Linked DNA regions of Mus musculus: regions 2 and 3 are each reported to be linked to region 1. The links are microRNA targets in miRTarBase. Many come from high-throughput screens and were not tested one by one. Region 1 holds a microRNA gene; each other region holds the end of a gene's coding sequence. Distances are from middle to middle.

The links. Region 1 holds the annotated microRNA mmu-miR-291a-3p (AAAGUGCUUCCACUUUGUGUGC, at 1,352-1,373, opposite strand). A microRNA usually pairs through its seed, bases 2 to 8, with sites in the 3' UTR of a target mRNA and lowers its output. Matches are read on the target gene's strand: a 7mer-m8 pairs with bases 2 to 8, a 7mer-A1 pairs with bases 2 to 7 and ends in A, and an 8mer does both.
Region 2: miRTarBase lists Zfp568 as a target of mmu-miR-291a-3p. Seed matches in the 3' UTR shown: 7mer-m8 at 2,258-2,264.
Region 3: the mRNA of Dkc1 is a reported target of mmu-miR-291a-3p. Seed matches in the 3' UTR shown: 7mer-m8 at 1,940-1,946.

The regions. Positions count from the first base shown.
Region 1 is chr7:3,216,665-3,220,340 of GRCm38, reverse strand. It overlaps Mir291a (microRNA 291a), which reads right to left and starts at 1,422; the gene lies at 1,341-1,422. Mir290a (microRNA 290a) reads right to left here and starts at 1,715; the gene lies at 1,633-1,715. Mir290b (microRNA 290b) reads left to right here and starts at 1,646; the gene lies at 1,646-1,703. It overlaps D7Ertd143e (DNA segment, Chr 7, ERATO Doi 143, expressed), which reads right to left and starts at 1,557. Exons shown (of 1, transcript NR_028425.1): 1 at 1-1,557. It also overlaps Mir292, Mir292b, Mir291b and a transcript of Nlrp12 not described here.
Region 2 is chr7:30,022,773-30,026,423 of GRCm38, forward strand. It overlaps Zfp568 (zinc finger protein 568), which reads left to right. Exons shown (of 10, transcript NM_001167872.1): 10 at 1-3,651. The coding sequence ends at 875. Among named protein-coding and RNA genes, the nearest start is that of Zfp14, 27 kb to the right of the region's middle.
Region 3 is chrX:75,107,713-75,111,363 of GRCm38, reverse strand. Dkc1 (dyskeratosis congenita 1, dyskerin) reads right to left here. Exons shown (of 15, transcript NM_001030307.2): 14 at 3,060-3,185; 15 at 1,588-2,668. The coding sequence ends at 2,603. Mpp1 (membrane protein, palmitoylated) reads left to right here. Exons shown (of 12, transcript NM_008621.3): 12 at 521-1,631. The coding sequence ends at 697. Among named protein-coding and RNA genes, the nearest start is that of Gm25520, 8.1 kb to the right of the region's middle.

The DNA of each region.
Region 1 (3,676 bases):
ATTTCCACAGGGACCTGCTGTGGTAATAAACCTGAAACTTTATAGTCAGTTCTTAGCCAGACCAGCCAGCCAGGCAGGTTGAAGGCAAGTAAGTACCCCAGGCTAGGCAGGATTACATTCAACTCAACTGGAACACCTGAAAAACAAAGAGAATCCATGAAGATTATGCTTAGGGCACACAATGTAACACCTGTAATCCCAGCCCTCATGAGCCTGGGCTATTGTAAAGCCAAAAGGTATTATGGGTATTATCTACCCGGCTGTCCACCAAGCTTGTTTGTGCTAGGAGCCAGGTTAAAGTCAGCTACAGCCAGCAGGTCCTAAAAATTCAATCCAACCATATCAAGACTCACAACCATCAGTCCAACTACAGTAGTCAAGCAAGATATAGCAACTACAGTAGTCAAGCAAGATATATAGGATCTTTTAATCCCAGGTGGATGGAGCTGAGGCCAGGCTGGTCTACAAGTGAGTTAGCTCCAGGACAGCCAGGGCTACAGAGAAACCCTGTTTGGAGAAAAAGGAAAAAAATTGAAAGAGGACTTAATATGGCGGCCACGTGAGATTTAAAAGTAGGCCTTTCTTTACTCAGACCTGAGGCTTAGACTCACCACCCCTGGACCTGGAGTGCCTCCTTCCACCCTGCCCTGCTTCCTCCTCACCTCCAGCCTTGCAGCTCGAGTAGCCAGTGGCAACGAATTCACCTCCAGCACACATACCTGTTTCAAGCAGGTAAGCGATTCCAGGTTGCAGCTGCAGCCGGCTTTTCAGACGCCATGTACACACAGAGACAAACAAAATGGATGCACTTTCCCGCCAAGCCGCGGAGAGGGCCTCCACTTTGATCGACACTGTATGTTCCAACTTCCAAGACCTGAGGCTCAGCTCCTCCGAGCGAGGCCCATGTGGGATCCCGGCTCCTTTATGAACGCGGAAAGCCTTTAGTACCGCATGCGCCCAAGTGTTCGGACTCAAACCCACATGTGACACCCACCTGCCCAGAAATGCAACCCCAGTGAAAACATGACCCACTAAAACTTAATTCTTAGTTCTTAGCCGTTTTGAGTTCTCAACCGGTGACACTCAAAACCTGGCGGCACTTTTCTTCCGATGAAAATCCAAAAGAGCCCCCAGTTTGAGTATCACAGGCTGGAGGTCAAGCTTAAGAACAATCTACAATGCACCTGGACTCACGACTGCCTTACATCCATCCGCGTCTCGTGGCACCCAACTGAACCGCCCTCTTTAGGATAGGACCCATTAAACTCCAAGCCTAAACCCCCACACAGGTTGTCCGCTCCTGTAAACCGATGCGTCAGATGCAAAGCTATGATGTTTTCCCCATGCAGTGGCACACAAAGTGGAAGCACTTTCTCATTCAGGCTCAAGAGAGGGCCTCCACTTTGATGGCCGCTACATAGGTGTAACAGCTCCAAGCAGCGACAGGACGCACATGGAGCCCCCAGGTACCCTACAACGACCACCTCAGTTACCGTCTACTGGGCAGGATGCCCATCCCTAGCCTTTCGCTATACTCAGTCTCATTCCTTTCTTCGAATCCGTACTCACCACGCTGCAGTTAACCCGGAACACGTGGCACCAGGGCTGGTAAATGTGCCAGATAGCCGTTTTCTCAACCGGCGGGGCTTAAAACTAGGCGGCACTTTTTAAAGAAAAAAAAAAGTGCCCCCATAGTTTGAGTACCGCAAGATGAGGCGGTCCAGACGTTAAAACATTTACCAGGAGGAAAGAACGTGGAGAACTTAAAATTCACTCCAACCTGAAGGAAACCTGGATGAAATCAAGGAAGAGTTAGTACATCGGTCTAACTCAAGGTATAGTGAAACTCAAAATTTCTACAATGAAACCACGTAGTTAATGAAATGTACTGCATAGACTCCCTAGACCTGCCCTCAGTAACTCCTAGCTTTGGTTTCTGGTCCCCAAACTTCACTCGCGCCCAGACTACTCACTTTCCCCACATAGGCTCGTTCCTCCCTTGAAATTATGTAGACCAAGTCAGAAAAAAAAGCCCAACTCTTTTTCCACACACATTAGTTCTAAATGTCTTCTTTGGAGACCAGACCAACCTCAGATGGGCCTGCCTCTGCCTCGGGATTAGTAAACCCAGCCAAACCGTGGGGGCGAGCGAGGAAGGCTGAGTTCGCGGCTAGCCTGCCTTTTAAAAAAGGGGCTCTAGTTTTTAAAAAGTAGAATGAAGATGGCCGTGATGACCTTTAATCTGGAGGCAGAGAGGCAGGCAGAAATGAGAGTTAAAGGCCAGCCTGGCTAGTCATCTCCAAAGTTGAAGCAGGAAGATCTCTCTTCTGGAAATCCTGGATCTACTTTCGCCTCTCTAAACCAGGTAGATTAAAACCACAGAACTGAAGGAAATAAAAAATCTGAAACTAAAAATATTACCTTTGCCTATGTGAGAAGCAGCACGCCGGAGGTATCCCTGAAGACCGCAGAGACCAGCATTCCCGATGTGGAGTAGAAGTCTCTGAGAGGCGTGGGGGAGGCTCTAGGTTCTTATATAGTCTGAAGGCTCATTGGCCCCCTGGACTGGGAGGCTCTGATACCCCTCCCCCACCCCGGAGAATCCTTACTCTACCACCCTGCTTCCTCTGAGCTGAGTTTCCCTGCGGCAGAGTGACCTTCACTGGTTTCTTCTCCCCCCCACCCCCCAGAGGAAACAGATTTCTTTGTTTGTTTCTAGAAGCAGCGCCTTTAATCCTATAGTTTTCTAGGCCGAGGCTGGAGGATCTTTGTTAGTTCAAGGCCAGCTTGGTCTACTATGGTGACTAGGCACGGGACTAGGCAGGGCTACATTCAGTATTAAGATAATAATAAAAATAAATAAAGGAAGAATGTGGGAGGTTCAGTTTATTCTTTCGTTTGAATTTTTTTTAAATCCAGAGTTTCAAATCCTCCCTCTTTTTTACCTTTCTTTCTTTCTTTCTTTCTTTCTTTCTTTCTTTCTTTCTTTCTTTCTTTCTTTCTTTCTTTCTTTCTTTCTTTCTTTCTTTCTTTCCCACACTGAATATGAAGGTCCAAGAACAATATGATAGAGTTAGTTTTCTCCTATGCTTAAATATGTTTTTTTTGGGGGGGAGGGGGTTCAAGACAGGGTTTCTCTGTGTAGCCCTGGCTGTCCTGGAACTCACTCTGTAGACCAGGCTGGCCTTGAACTCAGAAATCCGCCTGCCTCTGCCTCCCAAATGCTGGGATTAAAGGCGTGTGCCACCATGCCCGGCTGTTTTTCTTTTGTTATTATTATTGTTGTTGTTATTATTATTTATTAAATATCTTTAAATAGCTCCATGGATTGAAATTAGGTCTCCAGGCGGCAGGGCTAAAGCTACAGAGGCATATTGCAGACTTGGAGTTTAGGGTTTGTTTGTTTGTTTGTTTGTTTTTTGGAGACAAGGCTCAAGTACGCCAAGCTGGCCATAAGCTCATTAAATAGCCAAGAATAATTTAGGACTCCTAAGTCTACACCTTGTGTGTGTGTGTGTGTGTGTGTGTGTGTGTGTGTGTGTGTGTAATGGAACATTTTTAAAAAATTAATTTAATTTTTAAAAATGTATTCACCCTACATCCTACTCACTGCCCCCCTCCAGGTCACCTCCTTCTACAATCCTTCCCCCAACCCCAGTCTTCTCCTCTGAGTCGC
Region 2 (3,651 bases), 27 Mb from region 1:
ATCAAAAGCTGCATGTGGGTGAGAAGCCCTACAAGTGCCAAGAGTGTGGAAAGGCTTTCCCGTCTAACGCCCAGCTTAGTCTTCACCATAGAGTTCACACTGATGAGAAGTGCTTTGAATGCAAGGAGTGCGGGAAAGCCTTCATGCGCCCATCACACCTGCTCCGGCACCAGCGCATCCACACTGGGGAGAAGCCTCACAAGTGTAAGGAGTGCGGGAAGGCCTTCCGCTACGACACACAGCTCAGCCTGCACCTGCTCACGCATGCTGGGGCACGGCGCTTTGAGTGTAAGGACTGTGACAAGGTGTATAGCTGTGCCTCCCAGCTCGCTCTCCACCAGATGTCACACACTGGGGAGAAGCCCCACAAGTGTAAGGAGTGTGGGAAAGGCTTCATCTCTGACTCACACCTTCTTCGCCATCAGAGTGTTCACACTGGCGAGACGCCCTATAAGTGTAAGGAGTGTGGCAAAGGCTTCCGTCGTGGTTCAGAACTTGCCCGGCATCAGAGAGCCCATTCTGGCGATAAACCCTACAAGTGTAAGGAATGTGGAAAGTCCTTCACTTGCACCACAGAGCTCTTTAGACATCAGAAAGTTCACACTGGTGATAGACCCCACAAATGTAAGGAGTGTGGGAAGGCCTTCATCCGAAGATCAGAGCTGACACATCATGAAAGAAGCCACAGCGGTGAGAAACCCTATGAGTGCAAAGAGTGTGGAAAGACCTTCGGCCGAGGCTCAGAGCTCAGTCGACACCAGAAAATCCACACCGGTGAGAAGCCCTATAAGTGCCAGCAATGTGGGAAGGCCTTTATTCGTGGCTCTCACCTTACCCAACATCAGAGGATTCATACAGGACGGAGGAGTGAATGAGTTGCCATCAGAAAATCCATACAGTTTAAAAACCCTGTGGTGGATAACAATGTGGGAAGACAACGAGATACAGGGTTTCTCATTGGTGCTAGAATTCATACTCAAAAGACCCGTTAGGTCCAGAAGTGATGGAACACGTGTTACAAGAAAGAAACCTTATAACTCCAGAAATTGGAGGGGGCTACTTGTTTCAGAATTTATCATAAGGCTTTTGTTGATGAAAAACTCTTAAGTTCCATGAATGTAAAGGAAGGAGGAATGCCTCTCAGTGGCCTGGAGCCAAACAAGCAGGCCTCGGGATTCATAGCAGGGACAAGCTGAGGAGGGCAGTGTGTGTGTCCGAGAGATTAGCAGTTGGAACCTTTCCACACCCACACCCGGGCCAGCCCTCCGAGGAGAGAAGTCAGTCGTTATACTGCATAATCTCTGTGATACCTCAGGCTGCACTTCTGCTAAAACACAGCACACTCGCCATTCATCCCACTCTACGCTCATGGAATGTTTGCTACTTTATAAAGCCATTTGGACTGCGGAGTGTGGAAAGGACATGCTAACTTTTTACATGTCCTCATGATTCAGGGCAGGTTATTTACCAACTATTCTTTTCTTCTGTGGGGTAGCAGTGTTAGCCCCGTGTTTCTAGTTACGCTTTGAGGTTGTGTGTAGATTGTGGAATAGCATCCAGCTAGTATCTAAAGTGTGCCAAGTGCAGCAGGCATGCTGTTCCACGCAATATGAGCATCTGAAGCCAAAGGTAGGAGGGAGGATCACAAGTTGAGGCTAGCTTGGAGACTCTCTAGTAAAACAAACAAACAAACAAAAATTATAACAAATATAGCTGCTTTCTTTGTTATTTTCATAATAGTGAACTTTTACATAAACTTTAACAGTCTTAAAGAGGAAAGCCTTATATGTCCAGTAACTGGAGGGACATCTTGCCTTGTCCCTTTGACTGTTACAGAATTCTTATGAAGAAAGACTTAAAGCTTTCGTTCTTAGTTTACCCTTCTGCTGGTCAGAAGCGTCAGAACTGGAATGTGGTGAGGTCAGTATGAGAAGGGGCTGGAGGAATTGCTAAAGCCTCTGAGTGAGGAGTGGTGCTACACACAGCCTGTAATCCCAGCCCTCGGGAGGGGAGCACAGGACAGGGATTCAAGTCCATCCTGGTCTACCTAGTTAGTTAGGGGGTAGCCTGGACAACATGTGTTGCAGTCTCAGAACTTTCATAAGCAAAAGCCATGCCATGGATCTGTGCACTAGAGAACTGGAAAACAGTAAAGCTTTAGCTAAGACCCAAGCCTCCATAGAGAGTGTTAAATGCCTATATAAAGACATCTATATCTAAAGGTCCAATAGGTGTGGTAGCGCATACCTTTTATCCCAGCACTTGGGAGGCAGAGGCAGGCAGATTTCTGAGTTCGAAGCCAGCTAGGGCTATATAGAGAAACCCTGTCTTGAAAAACCAAAAAAGAAATTTGTACACTGTGACTGAAACTATACTCTGAGAAAAATGACCTTCCCTTCATCTTTGTAAACAGTGGGGGTTGGAAGGTCTAGGACTCTGTATTTATTGTTTATACAGTACTGTTACAGTGCCTAGTCCTGGTAATTCCCAGTGAGTATTCTAAGTAACAGAAGAGCAAATAACTACTCAGCTCCAACAGAAAAGAAACTAACAAAATTCAACTTGGCAAAACTAAACCTTGGAATAGGTGAGACGCACACAGTGTTGTACAGGAGATGAGGCTCTTATGAAACAAGGCTTGAATGAGCAGAGCATAGGTTCTACCTGTCGACAGATGTTAGCCATGCTCCTGCAGTGTTATGGCCCTGTGATTGGTTCTGGCTGTGCCCTTGGTCTCATGTGTGACTGACTGGGCAGTAGACCATCATGGGCTTAGTAACAAGATCCAGGGGCATGGTCTTCCCGGCTGCAGGGAGCACATCTGTGCCACCAGGTGGTGCCTGCTTTCTGAGGCTGAGACTGCCATAGAACACACATTGTCACCGACATTGTGGTGTCATGGAACCATGACCTCGCCTTCTCCTGGACCTACAGAATAAGAAATGCAGACACTGAAAATTAATACTCAACTCTTTACAGTATACATAACACTGAGAAATTTAGCATTTAAAAATATTTTTACTCAGATGTATTCAGCTTCAGGAACATATTTTATGTTTGTATTCTGCCTTTTATAGTATATCTGACAATGAAAAGCATTATTTTCCAAATTATTTTCTTAGCCATATTATTGAAATATATATTCAACTTCAATTTAGTAAGATGTAGTATATTTTCTTAGAGTATTTGATAGTGTGTTTTTATATTCTGCTTTTATAGTGTATCTTAAATCCTAGAAAAGTATTTTCCTGAATGAAGTTAGAGCCAAGGAGAAGCTGCTTAAGGAACTACACTCGTTCCCCTAACACTGAGCCACTTGACAGCTGAGACACCTTCTACCTCTTCAATGTGGAAAAGGGCGGCAGCATCTAAAGTCACGTCGGTTAGTTGCCAGTCCACGGCCTTAGAGGACTTTGTGATTACAGCAGCGTGTAGTATCAGCAGCCCAGTAATTGAGCGGTGTGGTGCTTTGTGCAAAGGACTTTGGTTGAAGTGCTAATGAGTGAGTGAGAGAGGACTCTGCAGTCACTGGAGACTAGCAGAGCCTGCTGTGAAGGTCCTTGTCCTTCCTCTTGGTCTGCTCTCTCCTGGAGCTCATCTGCCCCGCCCTGCCCATCATCTCAATGAGGAGGGAAAGCTGCTAATTACTAA
Region 3 (3,651 bases), not on the chromosome of region 1:
TATATCTGGCCATATCCTTAGCTCATGTTTCCATTGAGTTAGTGACTTCATCTAAGAATTCTATATTATGGTACTTCCCTGTAATGAAAGTTACAAATATCCCCACCACCACTATGACACATATTTCTCTATCCTTTTGCCTTTATGTAGTTAACTGACCATTGGAGCCAGAGGCTTGAGACTTGTCAATAAACTTTCTCCCTTATCCTTGGATTATAGCTGTAGTAGTTGCTAAAATGGCTTTTCCATAAACAAAGGGCTAAAACTAAGTGAATGCTAGTGAAGGCTGTGCTAGGTAATTAGGGTTAGTTTGGCATTCATTAGAATAGTTAAGTGGTTCTCAACCCCTTTGGCAAACATTATATTCTTAATTGGTTACCTAGCAGATACTAGGCCACAGGATGGATCACCACCATGCAAAAAAACAGATGGGGAACCAGTTAATGTAAACTTGTTTAAATCTTCCCTTTGCTGCTGTGATTAAAGACTGCTGCTTCATCTATGGCTTTCTTCTTTGCAGACTGAAGCCCTGCAGCAGCTGCAGAAGGACTCTGAGGCCATCCGTAGTCAGTATGCTCATTACTTTGACCTCTCTTTGGTGAATAATAGTGTTGATGAAACTCTTAAGAAATTGCAAGAAGCCTTTGACCAGGCTTGCAGTTCTCCACAGTGGGTGCCTGTCTCCTGGGTTTACTAAGCTTACAGAATTGGCAAACATGTTTCAGCCAGCATTTGGAATGCCACCTCCCCGCACCCCCTCCCTTGCTTAAGCCAAAAGGGTTGCTTCAACTTTTAGCTCTGCTGTTTTCTTACTCAGGCTCCTAAAGGGGTGAAGCTTTCCTACTATCTACATTTCAAAATGATCTCTGGAAAATTGCCATAAGAATAACCAAATGCAATGCTACATAGATAAACCAACTGTCCCCCTGAAGCCTGAGCTCCTTTGCTTTCAACTATAGAATGTCTTTTTACTCTGGAATAAATATCTTCTGAAAACTTTCTAAAATGCCAAAATCAAACAGCTGTGCAATAGAATGTCTGCTGTAGGGAAAATCTTCCAAAGCAATAAAAATGCTGCTGTGTTAAAGTACCCGTGACCCTGTAACTCCATTCCCAATCTTAACCTTCCAAGCAATGACATTAACATAAGATCTCTGGGAATTACCTGTCACTGCCTCTATAGGTCTGGTATTCACAATGCACAAAGGCGTCTTCTCTAGGACTTGTTAAGTCGTAAGAGAATGGTTTAAAACATGTTACAAAAGCAGGGGCTGTTTGGGCATTCTATACCTGCCTATGCTATTAACAATTTCCCCTAAAACTTGTGTTTATATTCTTGGTTTTGGGCACATATTTAAGCAAAGTTCCCTGCTCCCTCTGCAGTCAACACCAAAACTGGCAGTTTCCTACCTGGAGTACCTCCAACCTCTTCACAAGCCCAGTACAATATAAATGCATCTACCCCTTTCCTCTTAACCCTGGATTAGTAATGATCTCCCTTGAGAGCAGATAGGCCCCAGTGCCAATGTAAGAAAGACTCAGAATTAGGAAATTTAAAAGTAGCCAAAGGAAAAGCAAATTCAAAATAGGACATAAACCTCAGACTTTTAATAAAAATATTCTCTCACTTTTGTTGCCAGTCCAAGATTATCATAGTAAATCTAACAGGAATACTTTTTAAAAAAAAAAAAACTACAAATTACATTCTTCAGCAATGAACAATTCCATTCTGAACAATTCCATTCTTTTTTTTTTCTTTTTTTGTTTTTTTGTTTTTTTTTTTGTTTTTTTTGTTTTTTGGTTTTTTTGTTTTGTTTTTTGTTTTTTTGGTTTTTTTTTTTTCGAGACAGGGTTTCTCTGTATAGCCTGGACTGTCCTGGAACTCACTCTGTAGACCAGGCTGGCTTTGAACTCAGAAATCCACCTGCCTCTGCCTCCCAAGTGCTGGGATTAAAGGCATGCGCCACCACGCCCGGCAATTCCATTCTTTAAAAGAAAACAAATAGGAAGGTACAGGAATGCTTTGGCTTCCATAAGAAACACAAGTAGCCATATAGAGAAATCCTGTTGTACACAAAAATACAGAGTACTAGCCTAAATATCATAGATACCACCAGGCAAGGTTAATACCTGAATAGAGCAGTCCTCATAGAACACTGGAGATAAGAGTCCCCCAGTGAACATAGTTCAATTACATTTTTTCTCTCACAGAAGGTTCTATACCATTTTATGTAGCAGATTTAATTTTTACCAACTTTTTAAAAAGCAAAGTAGGAGAGGACTATCTATGGCATTGTTGAAAATGCTCATTAGTAAATAGCTGCAGATAGTTACTAGGCCATGCCATGTCTAAAGGTGTGGCTTCCTCAAGCAAGCAGAGGGGTTGGTGGCAAAGGCCTGATTTTATCTCTCATATCCTTAAAACAGGACAGGATGGGATGAGATGGCCACACCAGCTAACCACTGAGGTCACAAGTGGCAGCTAAAAGTATACCAGAACTTTCTACTCTGGGACCTCTGTTCTCCCTCAACAAAAAGTTTTTCCAATAAGGCTTTTCTTTTTCTTCCCAGCTGGACATAATGCTTCCAGAAGTGGCTTAAACTATTCAGACATCTCTTCTACCACTTTTACTTTCTTCTTCTTTTTCTTTTTGGTGGTGTCGTTGTCCTAAAGAAAGAGAAAGTAAAAGTAAGTTCAATGTACCCACTGACAAAACATTTATGACTACTGTTCCCAAAAGAAATCTGACAAATTGCACAGTCAAGTCTGTTCAAAAATCTAAGACATTTGGGGTTAAACAAATTTTGCCTGTGACCTTCTCGGTGAAGTCTTAGAGAGATCTACTTAATACACCTTCCCTACCCAGCAGCAACATAATTCAACCATGATCCACTGTTCTGAAAGGCTGGGTGCCCCTACTTCTGTGTCCAAGAAGGTAGACAAGGCAAATCTAGAACACAGGGCAGCACCAAAAAAGGCAATGGTAGGAACCCCACTCTCGCACAATTCCTGTCAAAGACTCAGCTGACACAAAGGCACACCCATGGTTCACACATACCCCATCTCCAGTTTCGCCCCCACTTTCTAGCACAGTTTTGGGCTTCTTATCCTTCTTCTTCTTCTTTTCCTTCAACTGGGGAACTGTTGGGGTCTCATCACTTTCACTCTCACTATCCCGCTTCCTCTGTGTAAAAAAAATTCACATGAAGTTAGAAATGTAGGAAGTTACCAAGAAAGATTCCACGTATATTCAATGGTTTTGTGTCTATAAACTTGAATAGTGTCTGATTTTCTAAAGATTTGAAGACAGTATCTCACTAAATAAAAAATATAGTAAGCCATGGGGCATGATGAATGTGCCAAAGCAGCGTTGCGTATAAAAGACCCTGAGAAATTGTCTCAGTGAGCCAACTCCAAGACTTAAGGTGCTCTTTGACAACTTGCAAGTTCCACCCATATAGCTCATTACTAGTCACTCAAGACAGCAAACATACCATTTGGGGCTCTAATGACAGTGGCCCCCAGCCTTGGTTACTACCACATGCTTCACTCTTGTCCTTTAAACAGTGAGTTAGCATGGACTAGAAATATTTTTTTGGTTTCTGACAATTCTGTTCCTCCTGAATTTCATTGAGGCCTCTGCTTTCAAT